Drosophila melanogaster: one gene and its partner. The protein of the gene in region 1 purifies or fractionates together with the protein of each later gene. This does not show direct contact. Each region holds a gene or a part of one and is shown in the gene's direction. Other genes may lie near its edges.

Region 1 (7,235 bases):
ACGTTTACATTAGCAGGGCATCTGGGCACCATCAACAGCTGACACAGAAACACTTTTACTGGCTGCACTTTGTAAAATGGATCTCTCGGCGGCATTACCTGAAAGCGCTCCCAAAAGATGCCATTCTCGGTCCGTCTACTGTCATCCGGCATGGAGATGATGACGCAGCTTAAGGGCGGCTGTACACCACCAGCTCCACAGTCAACCTCACCCCGCAATCCCGGCCAGATTTCCCCTGACAATGACTGGCACTCGTTCACGGACTCCGGGGCTGACTTCTCCGCCGCCAGCAGGTGTTTCCATTAACATCGGGACAATAAAGGCAGCGCACGCACTGCAATATGCAACAGTTGCAGACACGCAGGAAAAGCGTTGGAAATGGGAAATATGGCTGGCTGTGGGTGGTAGGTGGTGGGTGTTGGGTGCTTAAACGCACATTTGTAAGTAGTTGTGTAATCTATCCATGAACGTCGCTTCCGCTTTGCATTTTATATGCTCAACGCATCGTTTGGCCGGCGCAAATTGAGTTTCGTTGTCGTTGCTGCTGCTGAAATATCTGCTCTCGGATGGATAGATGGATGGATGGATAGATAGATGTCTGGATGAATGCCTCGGATATATCCCTTTTCCCCACAGCCATCGATTGGTAATGACGTTTGGTAGAGCCCACCCACCTTTAGGTTCATCCACTTTGTGGCTTAAGGCAAGAACGAGCATCAAGCCAATTAAAACTTCTAGCCCATCAACTTAATTAAGAAAAGGCCGAAATTATGCGACTATCATAAAAGTGCGGTGAACGTACGGTATCAAGAAAGATTTTCCTAATTGGTAAGCCATAAATTGTATTAATAAATTTTATTAGTTATACACCTGCTTAGAACGAATAACCTATGTATTTGCCAGACGTTGTAAACCGTTTTCAACGCTTTAATATGCTTTTAGATGCGGATTGTTATTTCATTATACAGATGTTAACATCCAGAAACAGTCCGTTTTAAGGATTGGGACTAGCAGGTCATACATAGTAACATGTTCAAGTATTGTTTTATATGCGTCATTCTAGCCTGGGCTTCTCGTGATGTTCTCGCTAACAAAACGGAAAATCCGCTGCTAATTGATCAAGTGGCTATAAATCAACAACAATGGTTCACATTCATTGCGCTGAAGGAAAGTGAAATGCAACAGAAAATAGTGAGGATCGAAAGATCGATAGAAGAACGATTGATGGCCATGCAAAGCAAGTTGGCATACGCACTGAACGAGCTGCAGACCATAATGGGCAACCAGAGTGTGGAGACTCTCGAGAAACTACGAATCTCGCACAGGATTAATCCGGCGCTTTTCCAGAGAATGGGCACAAGACGCTTCTACATTGAGAAGGAAAACAAACAAAATTGGTTTGGCGCCTCAAACACCTGTCGTCAATTGGGCGGTCACATTGCCACCATCAGGGATGAGCAGGAGTTTAATGAGATCTTCTCAAGAGCGCCGGCCGGCGTCTTTTGGATAGATATGAATGCTATGTTCAAGAACGGCCTTTTTGCATCATCACTCACCGGCAGATCGCCGCCGTTCTTTAAGTGGAAGAAAGAAGAAAGGGGCAATAAGTTCGATTGCGTTAATGTATACAACAAGGAAATGTACAATGAAAATTGTTTCAACACCCATTTGTTCATATGTCAAGCCGAGCAGTGGGATTGATGCGAATGCGAAAATAATAAATTAAGTTATTTTCATTTTGCATCTCGGCAATTTACCGACAGCTTTTAATAAAGTTATGAGCCTACTGTCTTTTTTATTTTACTAGCCCAAAAATGAAGTACATAACTGTTTTCTCAGCCAAGAGGATCATTAAGATTATTGGGTAATGAAAATTAAAATATTTTCCCTTAAGTACAAAACCAGGCCAATCCATATGGGGTTTCCATCAAGTGCCCAGAAAGCGGTGCTTGGTATTTCAAAATGCCTTACACACATGACGTGTCCACGTTCTGTGCAGAAATAAGGGCGGCCAGTGCCACGCCCCTCCACAAGGAAGCCACCCAAATGGTGACAAAAATGCTTTTGATTTGTGGGCCATTCGCACACCCATAGCCACCCACGCTTATTAGAATCCTGCCATTGTGGCAGCCAAAGTGCAACTAGCAGAGACAGATAGCAAACATCCAACAATGTGGAGCAGAGCGCAATTTATGACCAGGGGCGAGATTTCGAAACGGACTAATAGGATTGCGGCTCCAATTTTTGGGGCTTTTCATTTCAGATACCTCCGCACATACGATGCAAAATTATATCTCGAGTTTTCACTTACGTTATTATACGCTCTAGTGTGCAAGTCTTTAGTTTTTCCAATTATTACTATTCAATAATACTAATATACCAATATTGTATTTTGTTATAATAATAAGATGCTATTACCGTTACATTATTAACAAATGGGTAGTTGGAATTCCCCTTTCAAAAATAAAGATATAAAAAAAATCGATCTCTATGTTGTAGGGAACTAGTTCATTGAGATTAGTTGCAGAACTCATTGGAATTATTCAAAACTCATTATTCAAAATATAGATAAATAAATATAGAAGATATATACTTAAATGTGTTATTTTGGAGTGACTTCAGTTAAGTTCGAATTATTTAATTGAATTTACCGCGCATTAGTGTTACCATTTTACACTTACACCATCAAAATATTTCTAGTATTTTCAATCGGTCGTGAACTGGGCAATGAAAAGCCATCTGGCAACACTGTTCCATGACGCTTGAATTTTAGCGGACAAACTCGAAAAGAAATAGCAAAAAGACGACGCTTGCTACGAAAATAGTTATTCCTCGCAAAAACCCTGTAACGTGTAAACAAAGGCCGCTGCCACGATGCCGCGCACCAAGATACCAAAGAACTCCAAACGCAACCGCGAGGTGGCCAATCGCGAAGAGAAGGTGCGCCTGTACGAGCTGAAAATGGATTCCCGCCTTATCAGCATCGATTCGCTGGAGACCAAGTTCCTCTCCGCCGTGGACCACCAGGTGAAGACACTGCTCGGCCAGGTGCAGAAGGAGCTGGCCAATCTGAAGATGCCCGAAGTGCTGCGCCTCTTCGAGGAACTGGACCGCTTCAGCGACTTCAAGGCCAGCGATCAGACGCAGCTGCTCGCCTCGATGTCCATGAGTGGCAGCGCCATCGAGGGCCACGCCCCCTCCGCCACTGGAAGTCGCAATGACGAAGGTTTGTTGGCCTATATATGTATGCTGTTATACCAATCTGCTGGCAAGGATGTCATCACCCGAATTACAAATGAATACCGGTTTTACATGCCAAATTGGCAAATTCCATTGTATATTCGGTATTCATCATACCCTCTTGTTGCCATTTTCACTTTTAATTTTAATCTAACTGGTGTCCGGCTTTGTGACTAACTCAACTTTGCTTTCTAACTCCGCACCGCACATTTCAATGCACGCAAAATGCATATACCCACATCCACATCCTGTGCCGGTCACTGTATCTAGGCTACCTTACAGAGGACAGCAGCATCGGTGCCAGCGGTGGGAGCATCCTGGCCGCCCACACAGGCTCCCTGCTGCGGTCCACGAAGGCCATGCGCACACCCGGACCACTGCACTCGGCGAGGGCTCGTCGAGCGCGGCGCAGTCGTTCCGCCTGCGGGGATCTCAACATATTGCACTCGGCCAAACCGCCGTCAATTTCGAGCAGCAGCAGCAGCAGCCGCAATTCGCGCAGCAAACTGCGCACACCGATGGCCTCGCGTGCGAAGGCCTTCAGTGCCGACCGCACTCCTTTGAAACAGAAGCAAATGCGCTCCGGATCGCCAACTACACCGCCGATGGCATTCCTGCGCTATCCCAAGCCCGGCGAGGTGGCACTATCCAAATACGGCAGTCCCATGGTGGCTCAAGTGTAAGTATTGATCACATACTACGTGTCGATACCAATTTGTTAAAACCATTTTTCCCACACGATAGAATGCCAGACAAGTTCGCCAATGTGAACATACCCATTCGGAACGGAGTTCTTAGCTTGCGGCCCAAAAAACTGGATGCCGACGAGGTGGAGTCAAATCTGTTGGAGAACCTGGACGAGGACACCCTTAACCAGATCAAAACGCTGCACGAGAACTTGCAGATGATTGTTAATAAGGCCAGCCAGGCGGTGTTCAAGTAGCTGTCATTTCAAACGCTTATCTAGATATAATGCTATATCATATATTTTAATACGTTTCGTTTAAGTTCAGTTTTCATTTTACTCATTTAGTTCAAGTATTTTGTCTTTATTCATAAAAATCTATCGTATTTGCATAAGTTTCAATACATGTTCATATCCAAGTGTACGGCGATTTAAATGTAATGTTTTAAATACATGCTTAATCCAAAAAAAAAAAAATGAAGCGTTCCATGATGATTACTCGCCTTCAAGCAAAACGACGGAGAATCGAAAGAGATGAGAAAGTGAGAATCCAATTTAATTCTGCAATGGATAAAGTCGATGAGATGGCCAAGTTGTTCAAGCAGGATGTGGACAACAAATTGGGTTTGCTTCAAGCCAGGACTGATGCTCGTTTGCTGCAGATGAAATGGTCGGATTTCATGGCTCTAGCAAAAACTGCTACCTTCAAATAACATCTTTCTTTTGCTAATTGCAAAAGAGGCAACCGCTTTTAAGTTCCCAGATTTCAGAAAGTGGCCAATAAAATTATGTTATGTTAAAAATGTTTAAAATGTATTTTCGCACGTTGATATGAATACAGTTTTGAATCGCTTGTTCACCAAAGAGCCCTTTGACTTTGTTAGAATTAGGCGATTAGTTGACTGGAATATATAAATCGTTAGAAATATGCCTCGCACCAAGATTACAGCTCGTCGTCAGGCCCAGCGCCAGAAGGCTGATCGCGAAGAGAAAGTGCGCCTGTCCCAAATCAAAATGGATTCGGCTCTGGAGAAGATCGATGAGATGAGCAAGCGCTACAAGCAAGAGGTGGACAACCAAATTAAGGTGATCCGTGGTAGGACTGATAAGCAGCTACTGCAAATGAAGATGCCAGAATTCTTGGCTCTCGGGTTTAAGACTTTTGCCGAATTTCAGAGGGCAGGTGAGATTTAATTTAACTGTCGGCAATAGAAGAGTAATTGTTATTTTTGTTTTACTTTCTTTCCAGCTATTAAGCCGCCCACAACTCGCAGTTTGTCCATCAGTCGTGGTCGAACACGAACTCCGCAGAATGCCCTGCCACCGAGGCTTCAGGCGCATTCGGTGGACAGGGCTCTGAGTGGCGACACCATGAGCTTTGTGCGATGGCCCCGCGCCGGAGAGATGGTGCTCTCGAAGGCGGGAAGCCCGCTGGCCGTCCAGATGCGTCCGGATCGCTATGCGGACGTCCACATTCCCACCAGGGGCGGCGTGATCACCGTGAAACCGCACAAGATCAACACCGTGAAGCGGGAAGTACTGATGCAGCTGGATGAGAACACACTCAACCAGGTGAAGACACTGAATGCCAATCTCGGATTAATTGTGGACATGGCCAACAAACTGGGCAAATTGAAACCGTAATTGCTAGCTATCATAGGAAACTTTAAGAACGCGTCTATTACGCTTATTTCGTTAATATTTTATTTAGTCTTTTTCATTTTCTCATTTTCAATGTTTTTGTTCAGTTGTTAAACATTAAGTGAACGTGTCTGTTGTTCTTGTTGCTGTTTGCTGCTTTTTGCTTGCTTCTTGTTGTATAATTAATTAATAAATTTAATTAATTGTATGTATATATATATATATATATATATCGATTTGTAAGTACAAACATAGCGTACAGAATACCGTCTCCACTAACATTAAATTTAATTGTTTAAACATTTTTCTATTGTGTTGCATGTGTGTGTTTTGTGTGTCTGTGGGTGAACATTCTCAATTATGCTTGTAAGTATAGTACTTAGTTAAATTAAAGTGTATTGTGTTTTCATTGAAATGAAATTCAAGTGAAACTTTACTTGGTTTCCTAACTTTTCAACTTCACTTTCAGTTGTGTGATTCCTTAGACAAACGTTACATTTACACATATACAGATTTAGTTATTAAAAATTATCATTAATTTTTAGTGTGTATAGTGTTAAATTTAGCATTTGTTTCTTAGGTTTCCCATTTGAGTGTGAAATGTGAGTGGGAGTGGGGCGTGTCGTACGCGTTTATATAGTTACAGATACATAAAAATACAATACATAGCAAAAGGTACATATATAGAGACTTAAAATACGCTTGTTTTCACTGAATTATTCAATACGATTTTTAGAGACAAAGACAACATATACATATTTGGACAATCAATTGATACGTGTAAACAGTGACAGATGACAACAACATAACATTCAGATTTGTAACATTCATTATGTTTGTGTGGATAGGGTTTGAGAGTTTTCGCAAAACGATTTCAAAGAATTAAACATACGGGTACTGACTCAAAACCAGCAATAAACGAGTATAATCTAATCAAAATACTCACGATAATCTTAAAACAACTTGCCGTTTTTCTTCAGTACAGTCTTCCCTCCAAATCACGTATTTTAGCATACCCAAATTACCGATTATGTGTGTTTATCTAAGCGCTAAATAATCGTTGATATAAGTGAACAAAATTAGATGCATACATATGTGACAATTTGAACTGAAGTTGCCTGCTCTTAAAGATCTGATCCCCTTCCATAAATTCAGCATTAATCCAACCTCCTATATATGTGGAATAAACCAACCTATATAAATATCGGTTTCGGTTCCTACACCTCTAACTACGCTAACCTCGACCATCCGCTACTTTTGAAAATGTTTTTCAATTTCAAATTTTAGGCCTATTTCGTCGTACGTTTTTCGGTCTTTCAACTTTTTTTCCATTTGATAACACAGCCAATCAATCAACGATGCCTTCTTCCATCAAATCGATATTTTCGTTCCTCTATTTTTGCATTTTTGCATTGACTGAAAATAAGTTAATTTAAATATTGAGTAGTTGTGCTGCGTGAAATTTGTTGTTATATTGCTCTCGGTTCTGTTCTATTTTGAGTTCGTACAAATTTCTACTCGCTTTTGTTTTTTTTTTACAAAATTGTGCTATTTTCGCTATTTTGTTTAAAAACTATTTTTCTTTGAGGCTGTTGTTTTAGAATTCGTTATAACCTTTAAATGCTAGTTTATATATTAGGTTTGTATTTCGTTATTCTTATGTTTGGGC
Region 2 (6,804 bases), on another chromosome or scaffold:
TAAATTTAGTGAATTGTTTAATTTGTAATGCTCGAAAACAGCAAGTAATTTATTTAAACTTAAAGCTAAAGTTAATCCGGAGCCCCAAGTGCCACAATAAAAAACATGAAAGCTTTTTCTGTGTTTCTATACAAATGTTGACTATAAATTAAAGCTTATGGCTTCAAGCACCACACTCTTAGCTTCCTTTAACAAATGGTATTTATTTTACCAAAGACGTTAAAGAAGCAAATTCATTTACTTGTCGATCAATTCAAACAAATTCAAATATATTTTCGAGTATGTAATACATTATAATCATTTTAAAAGTTATTTGCCATGCTTTATGAAAGCTTATTTTCATATTTGCGAATGCTGTAATCAAAATTCATTTTAAATTCTGTCAGTTAACTTTGTACACACTTTACCACTAATTATAGAAACAGATACAGAAATACATAACAGAAAAAACCTTTAAAAACACAATTATAATTAAAAATATTCAAAAAAAGACTGAGTCATGAAGAGAGTCCATGTGGACAACTACACACCGAAGTACTATAGTGGCAAGTGGTCCTGGAGCGCCGAAAAGGATTGCCTGGAATTCGAGCCGCACAACGATCTGGAGAATGCCAGGGAGCGCTACATCACCACCAATGGCTATAAGTTCCTGCGCATCATCGACCAGGAGGAGGAGCTTATCTTCCGGCAGGCTTACGTGCGGGATACGGGCACCTATGACTTTGACACCTTGGTGATCAACGACATCCGTGACCTGGTCCTCTTCCTGATGCCCAGCGATTTTCTGACCTACCGGTTCGTGGAGTTCATGCACCGCCCGGCGGTTCACCGTCTGATCCATGCGCTCATCATTTATTTCGAATACTTTCTGCGTATGGTGGAGTTTGTGCTGGTGCGGCGCGACGAATTGGCCGATCAGATCCAGAGCGATCAGACCATCGATATGAAGAAGACATTCTCGATCTATCTCAGTCAGTATCGCCTCCTGGTGGCCCGCAACTACAGTGTGATTCTGAAGGGAGAGGGCGATATGGCCAAATACTACCATATGAAGGAGATTATCAATATTTCGGATACCAGTCGCGACCGCGTCTTCCACGAGCAGTTTCTGGCCGTGATGACCCAGATTGTTTGGATCTGCATGCATCGCCGTGCGTACAATGTCATTGAGATGGAAATGAACCGTCTGTTTCGTTCCGATCACTTTGTTATGGCACGTCCGGAGTATCTGAGCTTTACGCCGGCGGAGCGCAGTTTACTGTACGGTCGGAACCATAAAATCGTTAACTATCGCACCCAGATATCGCCGCTCGTCCAGGAGTTGGAGCACGTGGCGGAGGAGGACATGCCCATCCTGTGGATTGGCGAGCGAAAGTACCGAGGCAACGACAAGCGCATTGCCGAGATGGAGCTGGAGTACATTGTGCCGGGACCACAGCTGCGTATGATCGATGTGGCACACGGCATACTGGGACATCCGAAGGATCTGTACAACACCATCCTAGACCTGGACTGGCCCACAGTTCGCTACTCAAACTTTTCGCTTGGCTACGATCCGTACCACATCATTCGCCAGCCGCACTTGGACATTCCCAAGATCGACGCCTTGAAAGCGCGCAAGATGAATGAAAACTACGAGCATTTCTACAAGGTGTATCGCATCTACGAGCCGCACAGCGTGCAGATCCTGCAGAAGTGGCTCAAGCGGGACAAGCTCGTCCAGTTCTATCGCTCCGGGGGACTGCTGCTCACCAACGTGGTATCCCGGTGCGAGAAGGAACTGGCCGAAAAGGTACCGGTAACCAAGGTCGACCAGGTCATATCCAATTACTTTAAGGTGAAGTCCAGGCTGCGCAAGGGATCTCCATATGAACCGGACAACGTTAGCATCACCTCCTCGCGGATCGGGGGCTTCAATTCGCCGCGCCAAAAGAAAACGCCACAGGAATACTATTTCGATTGATTTGAGGTCGTACACATCCATTAGGTTTTCAAGAGACTTCAAATACTTCAAAATTATTTATTCGTGAATAAAATACTTATAAATCTTGAAAGCTTGGCAATATTGTTGTTACTAATATTGTAGGATATTACTAGTATTTTTAAAAAATTGTATTGGATTTTTAAGGTATATATTTCCGCTTTAAAATGCGAACCGTAGACTTATCGTTCCCAGTGTTTCAAATGGCAGATCAGCTGATCCCCAGATAAGGCTATCGTATCAAAATCTGTCCACCTCGACAGCTCTGTGCAGTAGTTGCTCGATAGACACGGTTCAGTAGAGATCTTCTTCCGACCAGAATCATGTCCGCTCCGCCATATCGTCATTTTACCCAAATTGGGGATCCTGTTCTGCGCCAAAGGGCAGAAGAGGTGCCGCCCGAGGACATCGATAGTAGGGAGATCAACCAGATTATTGACGGCATGGTAAAGGTGTTACGTCACTACGATTGCGTGGGCGTGGCTGCGCCCCAAGTTGGAATACCGCTGCGTATTATCGTTATGGAATTCCGAGAGGGAAAGCAAGAGCAATTCAAGCCGGAAATCTACGAGGAGCGTAAGATGTCCATACTGCCCTTGGCCGTAAGTAAAGCTTTTCTTTTCGCGTTCGAAAAATATATGTAAATCTATGCAGTTTTATAAACGTATGAATTTGAGAAACTAAATTTCTGCATACAAAAATATTGCTTATGTGCAGCAACAATCCCGTGATTTCTCATCATAAATCATTTGCTTGCAGGTCTTCATTAATCCGGAGCTGGAGATAATCAGCAGCCAAGTAAACAAGCATCCCGAAGGTTGCATGAGTGTGCGAGGCTATTCCGCTGAGGTGGAACGGTACGATAAGGTCCGGATCCGGGGGATCGGCAAGCTGGGCACTCCGTCGGAAATGGAACTGGAGGGCTGGAACGCACGGATCGCCCAGCACGAGGTGGATCACCTTAATGGAACTATCTACATGGATAGGATGGATCTCTCCACCTTCAACTGCATCCTCTGGGAGCAAATCAACGCAGCTGAAGGTCGATCCGCCATTTGGTTTCACAAGTAATAACTTGGTTGCATTTAATTCAAGGAGCTTTTCACTTTTTTATGGCGCTTTATACAACATATTTGTATATTGTTTGAAAATAAAATACACTTCTGAAATGAATGCGCTGTTTACGAAATAAACTTTGTGTGCGGGGAAAAAGTATTTTATGCACCTAGCATATATTTAAAAGCGCGCCAAATATCAAATCTATTTCCACCGATATATCGATAGGTACATACTTTCACATCCCTAGCCGGTCAGCTGGCCAGTATGACCGTGTTGTGTAACTATATTCCCTACGATTTTGATCGGAATATTAAAGGAGGCTAAACATTTCACAAAATGCACCTGAAACCACGGATAAAAGTATGCCAAGCGATTCTGGGACATTGTCGATCCTTTGGAACGAGTCCTCCCGCTAATCAGTCGTTCAGGAAGTGGTACCAGCACCTGTGGACCACGGAGCGCACAAACTTGCCGCCATACAACCATTTCACCCAGATTGGTGACCCTGTTCTTAGGCAACAAGCGGCTTTGGTGCCCAAGGAGCACATGGCTAGCCCCGAGATTAAGGCCATCGTCGAGCGGATGGTCAAGGTGCTAAGGAAGTTCGACTGCGTCGGCATTGCGGCTCCTCAGATTGGAGTATCGCTCAGGATCATAGCAATGGAGTTCAAGGGACGGATCCGAAAGGAGCTGCCCGAGGCCGTTTACCAAGCCCGACAAATGTCCGAGTTGCCACTGACTGTGAGACTGGGGTCCTAACTAGCTGTGTTCGGAAGCCCAAACCCTATAATACAATGGTTTGCTTCTTACAGATTTTCATCAATCCCGTCCTGACGGTGACCAACTACGCGAAGCTGAAGCATCCAGAAGGATGCATGAGTGTGCGAGGTTACTCTGCCGAAGTGGAGCGTTTCGAAGGTGTAAAGCTAACAGGCCTTGACCAACTAGGAAACCAAAGCGAACTGGCTCTGAGTGGTTGGAATGCCCGGATAGCGCAGCACGAAATGGATCACCTGGAGGGAAAACTATACACCGATCACATGGACCGCTCAACCTTTGCGTGCACCTGCTGGGAGGCGGTTAACACGAAATCCGGACGCGTGGAGATACCCTTCTACAAGTAGTTAAGTCGCTCGTGGATCGTTTCACTATTTATGTATGTATATATACTGATTGAATGGAATTCTATCTGGCAAATGTTCCTCTCGACTGGTTTTAGTCCATTGGTTTGGTGGGTGCACAAACCCGTAGATTGTGGATGGCCGCCCCAAGCGCAGACTTGGCCTTGAAGTACTCCTGACTGTCCCACAAATCACTCTTGTCCATCATGTAGGCAAGCAATTCTTGGTACTCCCGCATCAGCAGACGATGGGTGGCAGCCGTCTTCAACTGTTGCATCTCAAATAGCTCGGAAAGAGTCGGCAGGTCCTCAAGCTCTTGATCACTCGCAGTCTTCAGCCTAATATTTTCGTGCTGGGTTCTCAAAAGGCAATATTCATTATACTGCTCTCGCAGACTCTTGCCAAGATAATTGAGGACTGCAGTGCGCAGAATAAATTGCCGTATGACCGGATCGGCATTAGTGCGGCGGAACATGCTTAGCACAGTCCGGGAAACACCGGTCACCTAAATCAGCGTGGTACCGGAAAATACAAATTCTGAGAATACAGATTGACAGAAAAATCACGCCCTTGGAAATTATTGTATTTGGTCTTTTAAATAATCGGAGTCGCTGCAGCATCTAAATTTCAGTCTTTTTGAGGAACATAAATATTTAACTCTCAATGTAACGACACTGATTTTTCACTGCTTTTGACTAAAATACGATTTTATAAATTTATACCATTATTTACTGCCAAACGCAATGAAGCGCATTCATGTGGATAACTACGCCCCAAAGTACTATAGCGGCAAGTGGTCATGGGACTCGGAGAAAGACTGCCTCCACTTTCAGGCGCACAACGATCTGGAAAACGCAAGAGAGCGCTATATTATGACCAATGGCTACAGGTTCCTGCGCACAATAGACCAGGAGGAGGAGCTCATCTTCCGACAGGAGTATGTGCTACCGAAAAGCAACTATAGTGACGTTGTGGTGGTCGGAGATATTAGAAACTTGGTTCTCTACCTTATGCCTTCAGAATTTCTAACCTACAAGTTCGTTGAGTTCATGTACGAGCGGGATACGCACTTGTTGCTTCACTCCCTGATTATATACTTTGAGCACTATTTGCGACTGGTCGAGTTTATACTTATACGTCGGGATGAGCTTTCCGGTCCCCTGGGTCAGGTGCAGAGCGAGCAGACCAACGATATGAAACGAACCTTTTCGGTATACTTAAGCCAGTATCGTATGCTTGTTGCACGAAACTACTGCCGCATCATCGGGGGCGAGGATAATATGTCCAAGTACTACCACATGAAGCCGATTTCCAACATTTCAGCAACAATCCACGATAAGTTTTTCCATGAGCATTTTCTGGCAGTGGCCATCCAAATAGTCTGGATCTGTATGCATCGCCGGGCGTATTACGTAATCGAAATGGAGATCAATCGCCTTTTCCGCTCCGAGCACTTTGTTTCCGCCCACCCAGAATACCTCGAGTTCACGGAGGCGGAGCGCAGTCTTCTCTACGGCAGAAACAAAAAGAACTACAATTATCGAATTCAGGAATCGCCTCTAGTCCAGGAGCTAAAGCTGGTTCCTGAAGAGGATTTGCCCATTTTGTGGATAGGCGAACGCAAGTACAGAGGAAACGATATCCGCATTGCCGAGATTGAGCTGGAGTACATTGTGCCCGGTTCGCAGCTCAGCTTTATAGATGTATCGCACGGCATCATGGGCCATCCCAAGAGCCTCTACAACACGCTTCTTAGTCTCGACTGGCCGGCTGTCCGCTTCTCAAACTTCTCGGAAAAGTTCGATCCGTACCATATAATCAGGAGACCTCACCTGCAAATACCCAAGATAGGTGAGCTTCAGATGCGTACAATGAAAGAGAAATATGAACATTTCTACAAGCTCTGTAAGGTTCATGAGCGGGTCACACACCATCAGATCTGCAAGTGGGTCAAACGAGACATCAACATAGCCTTCTTTCGGTCCGGAGGTCTACTCACGAACGTAGTCTCGCGTTGTGAAAAGGAGTTGGCAAGCACATCTTCAGGACAAAGGGTCGATCAGATCATCTCCAACTATTTTAAGATCATGTCCAAAATACGCAAGGAGGATAGAGATCCGGAGCATGCATCATCTACGCGTAGTAGTATTGCATCGCGATTTAGTGTAGGCAAGGCAAAGCGGTAAAAAAAACTACCTAATTTTATACGTTAATTGCAATTTTTGCATATTATTATATATACAGAAAATCGGAGCTTTAAAGCACTGACACTTATGGATTGCTATTTTATAATAAATGCACGAAGACGAAAGACATTGGCATCCGATCAAGGGTATGGGTTTCGTAGGTGGGAGCTTGGGAATAAAACTTCACTTTAGGCCTTTAAACATGAGCATAATTCCACTAAACTTCGTCACGTACACATCAATTTAAATACACTTTAAAAACACTAAACACAACCCGATCTTGGTTTATCTGCGCGACTACGATGAAAAGAGTCCATGTCGATAACTACGCTCCAAAGTACTACAGCGGCAAGTGGTCATGGGACTCGGAGAAGGACTGCCTCAACTTTCAGGCGCACAACGATCTGGAAAACGCAAGAGAGCGCTATATAATCACCAATGGGTACAAGTTCCTGCG

Evidence for each region. The genes of interacting proteins can lie anywhere in the genome.
Region 2: the proteins of borr (region 1) and CG31278 purify together in Drosophila melanogaster (affinity purification with mass spectrometry, with the first as the bait; one large-scale study listed by BioGRID). This does not show direct contact.

Annotation. Positions count from the first base shown.
Region 1 is NT_033779.5:9,248,626-9,255,860, reverse strand, and holds borr (borealin-related), read left to right. Parts: upstream 1-2,742; 5' UTR 2,743-2,874; coding exon 2,875-3,226; intron 3,227-3,510; coding exon 3,511-3,919; intron 3,920-3,984; coding exon 3,985-4,183; 3' UTR 4,184-4,389; downstream 4,390-7,235. Other genes in the region: lectin-30A, read left to right, coding at 1,030-1,701; aust (australin), read left to right, coding at 4,853-5,108, 5,175-5,569. UniProt on the Drosophila melanogaster protein: Component of the chromosomal passenger complex (CPC), a complex that acts as a key regulator of embryonic mitosis.
Region 2 is NT_033777.3:10,704,835-10,711,638, reverse strand, and holds CG31278 (uncharacterized protein), read left to right. Parts: upstream 1-3,298; 5' UTR 3,299-3,376; coding exon 3,377-3,781; coding exon of another isoform or gene 3,782-3,792; intron 3,793-3,852; coding exon 3,853-4,164; 3' UTR 4,165-4,241; downstream 4,242-6,804. Other genes in the region: CG14689 (uncharacterized protein), read left to right, coding at 500-1,963; CG31373 (uncharacterized protein), read left to right, coding at 2,305-2,583, 2,741-3,052; CG14684 (uncharacterized protein), read right to left, coding at 4,256-4,636; CG31467 (uncharacterized protein), read left to right, coding at 4,905-6,347; CG31391 (uncharacterized protein), read left to right, coding at 6,650-6,804.